Sus scrofa: one gene and its partner. The protein of the gene in region 1 interacts with the protein of each later gene in a biochemical or structural test. Links are inferred from orthologs where the notes say so. Each region holds a gene or a part of one and is shown on either strand. Other genes may lie near its edges. The genes, in order: GABBR2 and KCTD12.

What was found.
Region 2: the proteins of GABBR2 (region 1) and KCTD12 form a complex in vitro, tested with the Homo sapiens proteins (2 studies listed by BioGRID). The link is inferred for Sus scrofa from reciprocal best matches to the Homo sapiens genes GABBR2 and KCTD12.

Annotation. Positions count from the first base shown.
Region 1 is NC_010443.5:240,111,739-240,120,778, reverse strand, and holds part of GABBR2 (gamma-aminobutyric acid type B receptor subunit 2), read left to right. Parts: intron 1-216; coding exon 217-399; intron 400-3,445; coding exon 3,446-3,575; intron 3,576-7,978; coding exon 7,979-8,096; intron 8,097-9,040. UniProt on the Homo sapiens protein: Component of a heterodimeric G-protein coupled receptor for GABA, formed by GABBR1 and GABBR2. Within the heterodimeric GABA receptor, only GABBR1 seems to bind agonists, while GABBR2 mediates coupling to G proteins.
Region 2 is NC_010453.5:49,030,409-49,034,406, forward strand, and holds the start of KCTD12 (BTB/POZ domain-containing protein KCTD12), read right to left. Parts: upstream 2,801-3,998; 5' UTR 686-2,800; coding exon 1-685. UniProt on the Homo sapiens protein: Auxiliary subunit of GABA-B receptors that determine the pharmacology and kinetics of the receptor response. Increases agonist potency and markedly alter the G-protein signaling of the receptors by accelerating onset and promoting desensitization.

The DNA of each region.
Region 1 (9,040 bases):
GAAACTGAGACTCAGTGAGGGGAAGGGGCCTGCCCAGGGTCACCCACAAGAGCAAGGGACAGAGACAAGCTTGAGTCCAGGGCTCCGGACTCCTAGGCCGTGTCCTTCCCAGTGCCCCATGTTGCCTCCAGCACAAGACCTGCTGGGAACAGCTGGATGGAGGGTGGGAGGACGGACTCCAGGGTCCTCTATTCAGCCCCACCTTTGTCCTTTCAGCTCATCACTCTGAGAACAAACCCAGATGCAGCAACTCAGAACAGACGATTCCAGTTCACTCAGAATCAGAAGAAAGAAGATTCTAAAACCTCCACCTCAGTCACCAGCGTGAACCAAGCAAGCACATCCCGCCTAGAGGGCCTACAGTCAGAAAACCATCGCCTTCGGATGAAGATCACAGAGGTACCTCCCACGGCCCTGGTCACCAGGGCCCCATCCTCCTGTCTGCATCCTTCTGCCCCGTAGAGGGACTCTCTGAGCTGCCACCTCCCACCACATCCCCTCTGGAACATTCCCACAGCATGGCCTGCAGTCCCATCTCCTGTCTTTATGGCTGCAAGAACCAGAGGGAAGATAACCTATATAGAGGCAGTGTGTCAGAATCTGACAGGAGTTTACTGCCCACCTGGCCCAGGCTCGGAGGTCCATCAGTGGCTGGTTCTCAGAAAGAAAGGAGCTCCTAAGAGATTTATGAGCCCCTAGATTATAGTAGTTAAGTTGGGAAAACTCCACATCCTGTGTCTCCTTCACTGCTCACACACGACTCTTCCCTTCGACTCTTCCGTCACTAAATGGAGTTGGTGGCGGGGGTGGGGGTAGGCCCCAAGCAATTCTCTTCAACACCAGCCTGGCGTCCTGCAATTTAACTCATTCTAAGGCCATCTACCTAGAGTAGCAGACCCTACAGTTTAAAGGCTCTAACCTTCCCTAAGACTGTTCCCATCCTATTTCAGATGCCAGCTGCAGGTAGTGGGACCCAGGTTACCCACAGTTCTGTCCAACCTCATCCCAAATCAGAGGTTTCCATGACCCCTCCTTAGGTTCCATTAATTTTCTAGAGCAGCTCAAAGAACTCAGGGAAACACATTTACCAGTTTATAAAAAGACATGATAACAGATACAGATGAACAGCCAAGAAGAAATACAGTGGGGAGGGGGGCCTGGAGTGGGTCCTGAAAGCAGGAGCTTCTGTCCCATGGAATTGAGGTGCATCACCCTCCTAGCGTGTTTGTGGTCACCATGCCGGAAGTTTTTTGAACCTCTTACTATTGGGATTTTATGGAGGCTTCATCACTGGGCATGACTGATCATTAACTCTGTTTTCAGCCCTTCCCTTTCTCAAGAGGATGGGGGGCAAGGCTAAAAATTCCAAGCTTCTAATCATGGCTGATTATTTCAGGAGCCCACCCAGAGCTGCCTCATTAGAACGAGGACACTCCAACATCCAGGAAATTAAAAGGGTTTCAGGCGCATCTTTGTCAGGGTGGAGGCCAATATGTATTTCCTATTATCTCACAAGTAGCTTCCTAAGTGTGTTCCTCGCCTCAGTTTTTCACTCTCCCAACACAACCCAGAAAGCACTCATATCCATATGATGTACAGCAAGAGAGCAAGAAGTGAGGAGAAACTTCTGGGAGGAAATATTGGCTGCAACAGATCTCACTTTTGTTCTTGGCCTCCAGAGAAGCCATAACCAGATTCCTTTGTGTCCAAGCCAAACCTCAAATTCTGGACTTTCAACACCAGGGAAGGGAAACCAGCCCTCCCTCTGGGTTCGAAGTATGACCAGACCCAAAGTGTGCTGTTTTGGATACTGGCTAAGTTGCTATAACAGAGAGGCCCCAAAATAAAGTGGCCCAAAGAAGATATATGTTCATTTCTCTCTCACCTGACAATCCTGAGGAGAGAGGTCCAGGCTGCAGACAGTTCTGTTCCCCAAGGTCATTGCTAGATGAGACTCTTTTATTCTTTGTTTTCTCTAGTCCCCAAGGCATCTTCCTCACCAGTAGAGTTAAAGCTGAGTGGATGGCATGTCAAAAGGATCACCTTTTAAGCAGGTGACACACAAATTGCACACATTTTGGTTCTGCTCTAGTTACACTGGCAACAACTTACTTGATCATACTTATCCAGTGGGAAGGCTAGGAAATGTAGTCTCTAGCTGGACAGTCCCAAGGAATAAGTGAGATTGCCAGATTAGGTACAGGATGCCCAGTTAAATTTGAATTTCAGATAAACAACCAATCATATTTTTGTATGAGTATATCCTATACAGTGTTTGGAATAAACTTATGCTAAAAATTTAGATTCCTTGTTAGACATCCCATGTGGTTTGCAGCGTAACTACTCAGCGTTGCTTCTACAGGGGCTGTGGCTTGACCCCCGATTCTGCTTTGATATCAAGCCTTTCAGTGACTGGTGACACCTTATTTCTGGACCTTGATATTCAAATCCTACTTGCTCTTCCAGCCATGAAAAGTTCACTCAGTCTAGGAAACATGAAACCCTACCCAGGGGCAAAAATCCTAAATGTTGGGTTTTTCTACAACTGAAGCACAATCTGACCTCCTGCTGCTTACCCTTTGAACCTAGCCCTGCTATTTGAATCACACACAAAAAAAGGTCTCTCTCTCTTCCTCCACAGGAAAAATTATTAAACAGCTTCATGGCTGTGTGTTCAATATCAGAATAGCACTTTGTATTGCTATTTTATACCCCCCCATCTGTAGCAAGATCCCCAACTATGCTCCCCAGCTGCCACCCACTCCCCAGCCCTCGCACACTCCCCTGGCTTCTCAGGGGCTGAAATGTCCCGGAGCTTGCATCTGATTTTTATATAACCTGGAAGCAGCTAAGATCCATCCTGATTAACTCCTTTGCAGGAGTCCCCTGACCATGTAAGGCTCAGAGCTGACCAGCCCTACAGTTGTGTCCTCCCTGCCAAAGATCCTCCTAGCTATCAATAATAATAATTACAGTAGTAGCAGTATAGCAACCAGTTACCAGATTATGTGTCAGGCAATGGACTAAACTTTCACTGTGTTATTTAATCTTCACCACTCCATAAAAAAGATACTGCTGTTACCCCACTCTACAGAAGAAGGAGTTGAAACCAGCCAGTAAGGAAGGGGCAGCCCTGGTTTTGCCCAGCCCTGCCTCCCTAGGCTTGTTCAGCTGCTCCATCAAGGCTCAGGCCGGCACTGAACTCATCATTGCACAGCCCAGGCCCCTTGCATCATTGCTTCTCCTGGAACAAGAGATAGGACAGGCCCTGGGCATCTCTTCTCCAACACACAACAGTCCCTCTAGCTCTGGGTCCCCTCAAAGCCAGTCGGAGGCCTAGCCCTGTGACCCTGCAAGCTGCTTCTTAGCTCTGAGGCCTAGCTGCCAAAGTGAGGGCAGGGGCTGGGCCAGAGGCTCTGACTCAGCTAGAGCCTTTGTCTTCTAGCTGGACAAAGACTTGGAAGAAGTCACCATGCAGCTGCAGGACACACCAGAAAAGACCACCTACGTTAAACAGAACCACTACCAAGAGCTCAACGACATTCTCAACCTGGGGAACTTCACCGAGAGCACAGGTAGGAGAAGGCAGGGCCCCTGCCTATCAGACAGCAGCCATCCAGCTTCCATTTTACAAATGAAAAAATAAGCTGGGGTGGTGAGGGTGGTCTGAAGCCACACACACAGAGCTGGAGCATCTAGAACCCGCATCCTCTGAGCAGGGTCTGTTTGAACTATGCGTGGGGCTCCAGTTCCACGTGTACACCACACGGCCGGCATTCCCAGTGGTCCAATTGGGGGCGCGCTGTTCTTAGCGAACAGTGTACTTGTACTTCTGCCAGTAACATTTCAGAGTCTCAGACACACCTCGTCAATGTACGGGAAAGGAATGGTCAGTAAAATGACATGATGCTTAATCCCAATCCCTTGAGAAATAACACAGTCCATTTGGGGCCTACATTTAGGCAAACTTTTTAAAAACATTACCAGTACTGGTAAGGGCGTGTGGAAATGGGCACACTCCTGTAGTGTTGTGGGAGTTGGTCTGGCGCTCTCCAAACAGCAGATGTTAAGCCCCTCGACTAGCAATTCCCCTTGCAGGAGGCTGCTCGTGGGTAAAGGTGTCGACACACATAACAGTACTTGTAGGTGAGAAAAGCTGGAATTACAGGTTTGTCCTTTGGGGTGGTTTCATTAGTTATGATACAGGCAAACAGGGCTATTAAAAAGGGAGGTGGATCTATTTTTGCAGCTATGAAAAAATCTCTTTAACTGAGAAAAACAAGATGAAGACCAGCATTATGATGCACACAACAGCACACACACATATGTGTGTCTGTACGTGCATTTTTTTTTAAGAGTCTGGTAGAACAGACACTAGATTGTTAACAGTATCCACCCGAGGTGTGAAGGGTGTGTGTGGAGAGTGGGTGAAGGGGATTCTTTTACCTTTCATTTTATGTACTTCTTTCCTGTTTGCATCTTGTCATTAGCATATATTCATTAATTTTATCAATTATTTTGTTTAAATCAATGAAAAATCTTTAGTTTCTTGTATTATATAAGTATTTTATTATAAAAGCAATATTATAAAATTCTTATTATGTAAGATATTGACTGTAAAAAAATGTTTAGATTGGGATAACAAATTGAAAGAATAAAAATTATTCCTAGTAATTTTTAGTATCTAATTTGAAAAGGTGGGCATTTCAAGTTAGTGAGGGAAAATAAATTATTCAGTAAATTTCATTGGGATAAATGGGTATCCATCTGAAAAAGAATGAAGTTATATCCTTATCTCACAACTCATACAAAAATAAATTCCAGAGAGATAAATGATTTAAACATAAAATGTGAAACCATGACTATAGTAGAAGAAATCATGGAATTTTTTTGTCATCTCAGCAGGGGGGAAACCTTTTCAGCTTGATGCAAAACAGAAACATCACAAAAGAAAAGGTTGATAAATTTAAATACAAAGAGTCTTCTAACAATGAGAAAGCCATCATAAGTAGAGTCAAAAAAAATCAAACAACAAATTAAGTCAAAAGATATTATAACTCAGGTAATGAGCTTAGTCCCTTATATATAAAAAGAAATTAGGGGGTTCCCATTGTGGCTCACAGGTAACAGACCCAACTAGTATCCATGAGGACTTGGGTTTGATCCCTGGCCTTGCACAGTGGGTTAACGATCCAGTGTTGCCATGAGCTGTGGTGTAGGCAGCAGACATGGCTCGGATCCTGTGTGGCTGTGGCATAGCCAGCAGCTGCAGCTCCAGTTCCACCCTAAGCCTGGCAACTTCCATATACCCCAGGTGCAGCCCTAAAAAGCAAAAAAAAAAAAAAAAAAAAAAAAAGAAAAAAGAAAAAAGAAAGAAAGAAAGAAAGAGGTATTATATGAATTACAAAGTATATATACAAACTAATAAGAAAAAAGATATGGAGTTCCCGTCGTGGCACAGTGGTTAACGAATCCGACTAGGAACCATGAGGTTGCGGGTTCGATCACTGGCCTTGCTCAGTGGGTTAAGGATCCGGCATTGCCGTGAGCTGTGGTGTAGGTCGCAGACGTGGCTCGGATCCGGCATTGCTGTGGCTCTGGCGTAGGCTGGCAGCTACAGCTCCAATTCGACCCCTAGCCTGGGAACCTCCATATGCCGCGGGAGCGGCCCAAGAAATGGCAAAAAGACAAAAAAGAAAAAAGATAATAAACCAAAAGAAAAATGGGCAAGAGAGTTCTCATTAAAGGAAATATAAGTGGTTCTTGTATTTATGAAAAGATGCTCAATCTCGCTGCTAATTAAAGGATGCAAATAAGTCTGCAATGAGATACATTTTCACCTATAAGAATAGCAAAGATTAGAGACCAAAGAGCTACTGAGAGTGGGAGAAAACAGGTGGGGAAACACTGCCACTTGAAATAGAAATTGTTCTGACCCAGCAAGTCCACTTTGGGAATTTATCCTAAGGATATACAGTCAACTCTTGTCATTCACAGTAACTGCGTTCTACAAAGTCCCTGTGAACCGTGAATTTGAGAGGACTGAGCCGTGGCTCTCAGAGGAGACACGGGGTTAGGTTCCTGCAAGCCTCTCCCAGGGGGACATTTTCGTCAATACATAACTTTGTTCCATGCGCGATTCTGCTGGAGGACACCTTATTTAATACATATTGGTGACTGATGACACTGAACTCACAGCCAACAGAACTCTCACTCATGCCTGTGACGCGCAACTGACACACGTGTTTTCTCCATCTGGCACATCATGCTTAGGAACACTGGACAGCACTACGCTTAGGGGCCATTTTAAACAGCGAAAGGACCAACGCAATGCACAAAGATGTTAACAATGTGGTATTTCATAGACTACAATAAGGATACTCATTTATAGTATAAGAGCTGAAACAAGAAGACAGAGCCTTGTTCGACCTCTGCTAGGGGAGCAACTCAAATGTTTTGATGCTCTGTGTGTGTTATCAAATGACAATGAAAGCATCACGAGTATTGATTTTGGGGTTACAAGTAAATTTTAGCCCATAGGCAAGTTCGCAAATACAGAATCGGTGAATGAGGAGCACTGACTACTCACACAATGCAAACTGACACACACCTAAGGTTGCCCACTGTGGCAGAAAAAGAAAACACCCCTCCCAACCAAATGAATCCAGATCTGGCAGGTGAGGGCCCTGTTTTTACTGAGGGGCGGGGCTGTGAGCCCACCTGGATTGTTGTTTGCCCTGGGGCTTCTCGGTGCTGATGGGTGGGGCCAGATTTTCCCAAAATGGCCACCTCCAGAGAAAGGCACGCTGATGAATATTCCTGAAAGCTTTGCTCCCAGTGTCCTTCCCGACAACAAGCCACACTCACCCCTGTTTTCCCAGGAGGTCCTCTAAGAACTGCAGTCAGGTCTGACCCAGATTCCTATGGAAACTTTACTTTGTCCTGGGACCCAGTGCACGTGAAAGTCTGTGTGTGCCTTTTAAGAATGGAGCTCCTGCACACAAGCCCCACTGGCCTTCAATGCCAGATGCTCTGGGGGCTCTGTCTCCCAGTGTCAGATCCCCATGTGTGGGGGTTTGATGTGGGGCTCAGAACTCTCACTCCTGTAGGTGAGTCACTGTGATACAGTTACTTTCCAGTCTGTGGAGCTTCCCACCTGGGAAGTATGGGGTTGCTTCTATCTCATAACTGTCCCTCCTACCTCTTGATGTGGCCTCCTCTTTGTCTTTTGGAGTAGGATGTCTTTTTGAAAGTTTCCGGGGGCCACGTTTTTCTACTTCTTTAGTGCTACACATGGTGGTTCTGAAACACAAAGAGGGTTGAGAGCATCACGTTTCGTGGCTACACAGTATTTCTCTGAATGGAGGCCCGTACATATACAGTAATGTGTGTTACTGGACAAATTTGGGTTAGTTCCAACTTTGTTATTGTAAAATATCTTGTATACATCCCATACACATCCTTAATGATTTCTTTGGGATGGTTCTTGGAAGTGGAAATTCTGGGTAAAAGATACTTTTCATAGTGTTTGATGCTTACTGACAGTGCCTCCTGGAAAGATTATGCCAATTTATTCTCCCACTAGCAGTTTACTGTTACTCTTCTTTTCAATCCTTGGCAATCTTATGTAAAATATACCTTGAAGTTCCTTTTTTCTTTGTCATTACATTCCTAATGCACCTGTGAAAAGGGCCTTCGTATTAGAACCTCTCATTTCTAAGTTATGCGGACTACACTGGTTGACTTGATTCTCTTTTTTCCACATCCCTGGCACAGCATTTCCATCCCTGGACAGGGGCTTCTCGGCTCCCTGCCTTGGTCTCCGGAGAGTGCCTGCAGAGACCACAGCTTAGAGAAGGCAAAGGGAAGATGGGGTCTTCTGCATTCTCTCTCCCTGGGCGGTATCCTAAAAAATGACTGCACTGTTGATTCTTTTAAATTAACAGAATATATTGCAATATTGTTGTTTTGCATTCAGATGGGGGGAAGGCCATTTTAAAAAATCACCTCGATCAAAATCCCCAGCTCCAGTGGAACACAACAGAGCCCTCTCGAACATGCAAAGATCCTATAGAAGATATAAACTCCCCAGAACAGTAAGTACCTGCTCCTTGAGAATTAGTGCCCAAGAGTATGTTTCTTCTGCATAGTAGTTCACAATTGGCACCATGTTTTCACATGCATTACTTTATTTGTACTCCATAGTAATCCCATGATGCAGGTCAAGTTACAATGCTCATTTTCCAGATGAGAAGACATATTCAAAAAGGCGAGGTGACTTGACAAAGCTCACCAGTTACTAACTGCAGGAGATAGGATTTGAACTTGGGTCTGTCCAACATCAAATCACATATTCTCTTTGTTATATATAAAATGAATACATTTACTTAACAGTGATTTACTGAGCCCTACTATGTACCAGTCATGGAAGTGAAATAAAGGACAAAAACCCCTCCCTCCATGAAGTTTACATTCTGCCTGGCCAGACAATAACTTAAAAAAAAAGCAAACCTCACATATTACATGATAGGCACTTTGGAGAAAAATAAAGCAGGGGAGGGAGCAGCGGCTATAATTTTACATAGGGCAGTCAGAACAGACTCAGTGAGAAGGTAACATCTAAAACAAAGACCATGACATCTCCAACAGCTTTGTCCCCACTGGCAGTTCTTAGGTATCCCCACTTTACAGCAGATTGGAGGCAGCGATTAGAATGTCAACTCTGAAATGTGTTCCCTGAGAAGTGACAACAAAGGGTGAGGAGCCAGCAAAGGTAGCTGGATCACCAACTGCAGTGTATCTGGGGCCATTTAGTCTTAGAGCTAATAGCCTCTCATCCCAATTTGCTCCATGCCCTCACAGCTGACAGTCCAGTCCAATTAGTGATGGCTACATGGCATCCATCAGTGACCTACCTATTAGTTCCCTGCACTAGAGTGCAAACGCTTTGAGGGTAGGTATAGTCCTTCCTATGTCCCCTGCACTGAACACAGCTTCTGGCACTGGCACTGAATAGGTTTTTGGCGATGAACCAATCAGA
Region 2 (3,998 bases), on another chromosome or scaffold:
CGTCCGCCTGCGCGTCCCGCCCGATGGTGTAGGAGCCTCGGTAGCCGATGGTGATGTAGCCCGAGCGCCGGCTGCCGTCCAACGACTGGGAAGGCGTGAGCAGTGGGCCAGCCGCGCCCCCGGACGGGCTGCGGCTAGACAGCTCCAGGGTGGGCGACGGCGCCCCAGCAGAGGCGCCCTCCTGCAGCTCGGGCTCCGCATAGCCGAGAGGCAGCAGCTCGTCACCCAGAGAGCCCTCCTTCTGCACCCCGCGCCGCGAGTGCGGCGGCGGCGGCCCGGGGCCGGGCTGCTGGGGCGCCCCGAGGCGGCGCACGAGCTCGGGCAGCTCGAAGTACTCGGCCTCGCGCTGCAGCCGGCTGCGCTCTGGGAAGTAGTCGGGCAGCACGAGCTGCAGGTCCCGCAGGTAATCCAAGATGTAGCGGAAGAGGAAACCGTCTCGGTCCAGAAAGAAGCGGCCTTTGCTGTCCCGGGCCAGCTCCTGCGGCTGCTGCTGCGTGAACATGCGCCAAAGCAGCGAGTCGGGCACCGACACCACCGTGCAGCGCCGGGTCACATACACCTGGCCCCCCACGTTGAGCTCTACGATGTCAGGAAACAGCGGCGGCTCCGCCGAGGACGACGAGGAGCCACTGCCGCCGCCGCCGCCCCCGTTGGGTAATCCACGAGTGCTGTCCGCCAGAGCCATGGCCAAGAGGTGGCCGGGCTAGGGCAGTGGCCAGGAGCCGGGCCGCGCGCCGAAGCCGCCGCTTTCCCGGACGCTCGTTCAGCCTTGCGCCCCGGCCACTGCCGCCGCTGCAGCCGAGAGCCGCGCGGAGCCGAGCGCACCCTGCGAGCGCGCCGCTGTGCGCCCCCGCGAGCCCCGCTGCGCTCTGCCTGCCTCGCCCGCGCGCTCCAGGGGAGTGCCGGGTGGCGGCCCGCACGCCGCTTAAGTAGAGCCGCCCGCCCGAGCGCCGCTGCGCGCAGGAGGCGGGGGCGGCTGCGGAGCGGCGGAGCCTCGCTCCCTAGGCGGGAGGGGGCGGTGGAGCGGTGAATCGATTTGCATCTTAAACGCTGACGCCGTGGCCAGCTGCTGGCTCCACCCCGGCTCGCGCGCCGCCCGGGCGCCCCGACTTCCCCACCCCTCCTCGACCCGCGCTCCATCCCCTTCCCGCTCCCGCCCAACTTTCATCCTCTTCCAGAGTGGACGGAGCCTGGGATCTGCGCTTCGGCAGAGGAGCCTTCTTTGAAGAGGCAATCAGAACGCCCCTTTCCCTCCTAAGCGCTCCGGGGCCAGTGGAAGGAATACGTAAACTTTCAGGCTCTCCTCACCCGAAGAGTGGAAGTGCCTGACCGCCCCTCCTCCCCCCACCTAGCCGCTTTGAACACGGGAACTGTGCCTCTTCGTAAACACGCCGATCGCCGCGTTGCTGAAAGTTCCAGAGACCAAAAATATGGAAAGACCTCCCGCTGGGGTGGGCCCGCTTCAGCCCGGAGGCAGCTAGATTTTGTTCGCTAGGACGTGTAGCCTCGGGAAAAAAAAAAAAAAAAAAATCCCTACAAACAAAAAGTTAACCTCGGTATCCCGCTGCAGGATTTTCTGGGTAAAGACGCAAGCTCGTTAGTTGGGACTACCTCAAAATTGGAGGAAATGGGCTGAAATAGCAGTGGGGGAACTTGGGTGAGTTAAAGCAGTGGCTTCGGGGCGCGTTCCCCTCTAGGTAGCGGACGCTGCCTCCTGCTGAGCCTGAAGGGACGTGTTTGCCGAGGCCTAAAGGGAAGGCTCCGTCTCCGTGGCCCCAGGTGAATCGCGTTCTGAGACTTGGAGGGTTAGAAGATCTAATGTAATTTGGAGAACCTCCCTTTCAACCTCTGCGTCTTTATCCTCCCAGAGGTGCAGTGCCCCTGCTCCCTCGGGCCTGGGTCACTCCGTTCATCCCGCTCTAAATTCCTTCTAGTCTCAGGGTCCTCGAACACTGGAAGGCCCTCTCCAGATCCCTTGTGGTCTTCTAACTCCTGCTCCCTCCACATTCTCATTCGCCCGTTACCACGTGGCGGGTGGGGCCTTGAATGGCTCCTTCCACCTGCTCTAACCCCCACGCATTCTGAAATTTCGCATTTGTGAGTGATGATCTGATCTCTGACTTTGGTAAATAAAGTGCTCCTGAGAACCGCAGAAAGGGGACGGAAGAGTGGGTGGTGAAGGATGTCTAATCAGCAAGTCGATGAGTATCTATTGTGCACCAGCTATGTGGCCTCACTGGTAGAAGAACGCAAGGCTGAGTAGGCTCCAAAGCGCCATCAGTGTCACCGGGTAGGCAAGGGTCAGAGATCTAAGGAATTATCAGATCAAGTTTGAAAAACAGACTGTCAAATCAGTATATATCAGGCGAGATCTTTGTTCTTGATAAAAATGTTTCCCCTTTTACATAACTACCCAATGAGCTTTACAGTCCCCTCACGGATGTGTCATTTTCACTTAAAAGGTTTACGTCTGCTGAACAATTATCTCATTTCATGTCAGTGTACTAAGATCAAGCCCCAAACCAGCTCACTTAATTGCAAGTACAGATTTTGGTACTGAATTTATTTGACCACGCTTTTTTGTTTGGTTGGTTTTGTCTTTGATATAATAACAGCTGACACAAAAGTTCCAAGTTCCCATGCTGAATGCCTAGGTGGCTGTGCTACTATTTGTTATATCAGTGTCACAGACCTGGGGGGAAAAAAAAAGTCTCTTTTCTGTAAATCCAAGAAAAGCCTTCTTTGTATCAATTTTGTACATAATTTTGTACCATTACTTTTTTCATTGTAGCGGCAAATCCTGTCAGTTCTGCCTTCAGAATTCTTCCAGGCTATTCACATGTTTCACCACCACCCTGCTTCCACCTTTGCCTCCTACAGTGTTTTATCACCAGAACAAAAAGAAGGATCCTATTATAACCTAAGTCAGATCATGTCACTCTGCTCAAAGCCCCTCACTGGCATCTCATCTCAACAAAGAGTAAAACCCAGGAGTTCTTGTCGTGGCGCAAGAATCCAGCTAGGAACCATGAGATTGTGGGTTCGATCCCTGGCCTTGCTCAGTGGGTTAAGGATCCAGCATTGCCGTGAGCTGTGGTAGGTCCCAGACGCGGCTCGGATCCCGCATTGCTGTGGCTCTGGCGTAGGCCAGTGGCTACAGCTCTGATTCTACCCCTAGCCTGGGAACCTCCATATGCCAGGGGAGCGGCTCTAGAAAAGGCAAAAAGACAAAAAAAAAAAAAAAAAAAAAAAGAGTAAAACCCAAACCGCCAATGCCTACAAAACTCTACGAGATTGGGGCTGTCCCCTGAGGACCTCTCAGACCCATCCCCTGCCACTATCTCAGGCGCTCACTGCTTTAACCACGTTTCCAGCCCTACTCTTTTCTCAGGGCCTTTGCACATCCTGCTCGCTTTGCTGAAAGACTCATTTCTCCTCCCCATCTTATCTTCTTCACCTTGTTCAGGTACCTCCCTTCTCTCCTTCTTTGGGTCTCTGTAGCAAAACTTTCCCTTGGTCACCCTATTTAACATACAGCCCCACTCAAGCAGCGTCCCTTTCCCCATTTTGTTTACTGTTTCCCTGCATTAGAATATAAAGTTCAGATATTACTCAGCCATAAAAGTGAGTGAAATGTTGCCATTTGCAGCAACAGAGATAGACTTAGGGGACATTACACTAAGTGAAATAAGTCAGACAGACACATATTGTATGATATCACTTACATATGGAATCTAAAAGATACAACAAATTAATATAACAAAAAGGAAGAAAACTCACAAAGAACTTGTGGTTACCAATGGGGAGAGGGAAGGGGAGGGGCAACATAGGGAGGGGGGAGTGGAAGGTACAAACTATTGGGTATAAGCTAGGCTCAAGGATGTATTTTGTAATAACTAAATGGAAAGTAACCTTTAAAAACTGTGTACAATTTTTTTTTAATTTTAAAGAATACAAAGTCTAAGAGGTCATAGATTTGAGTTAGCTTGATTCATCAC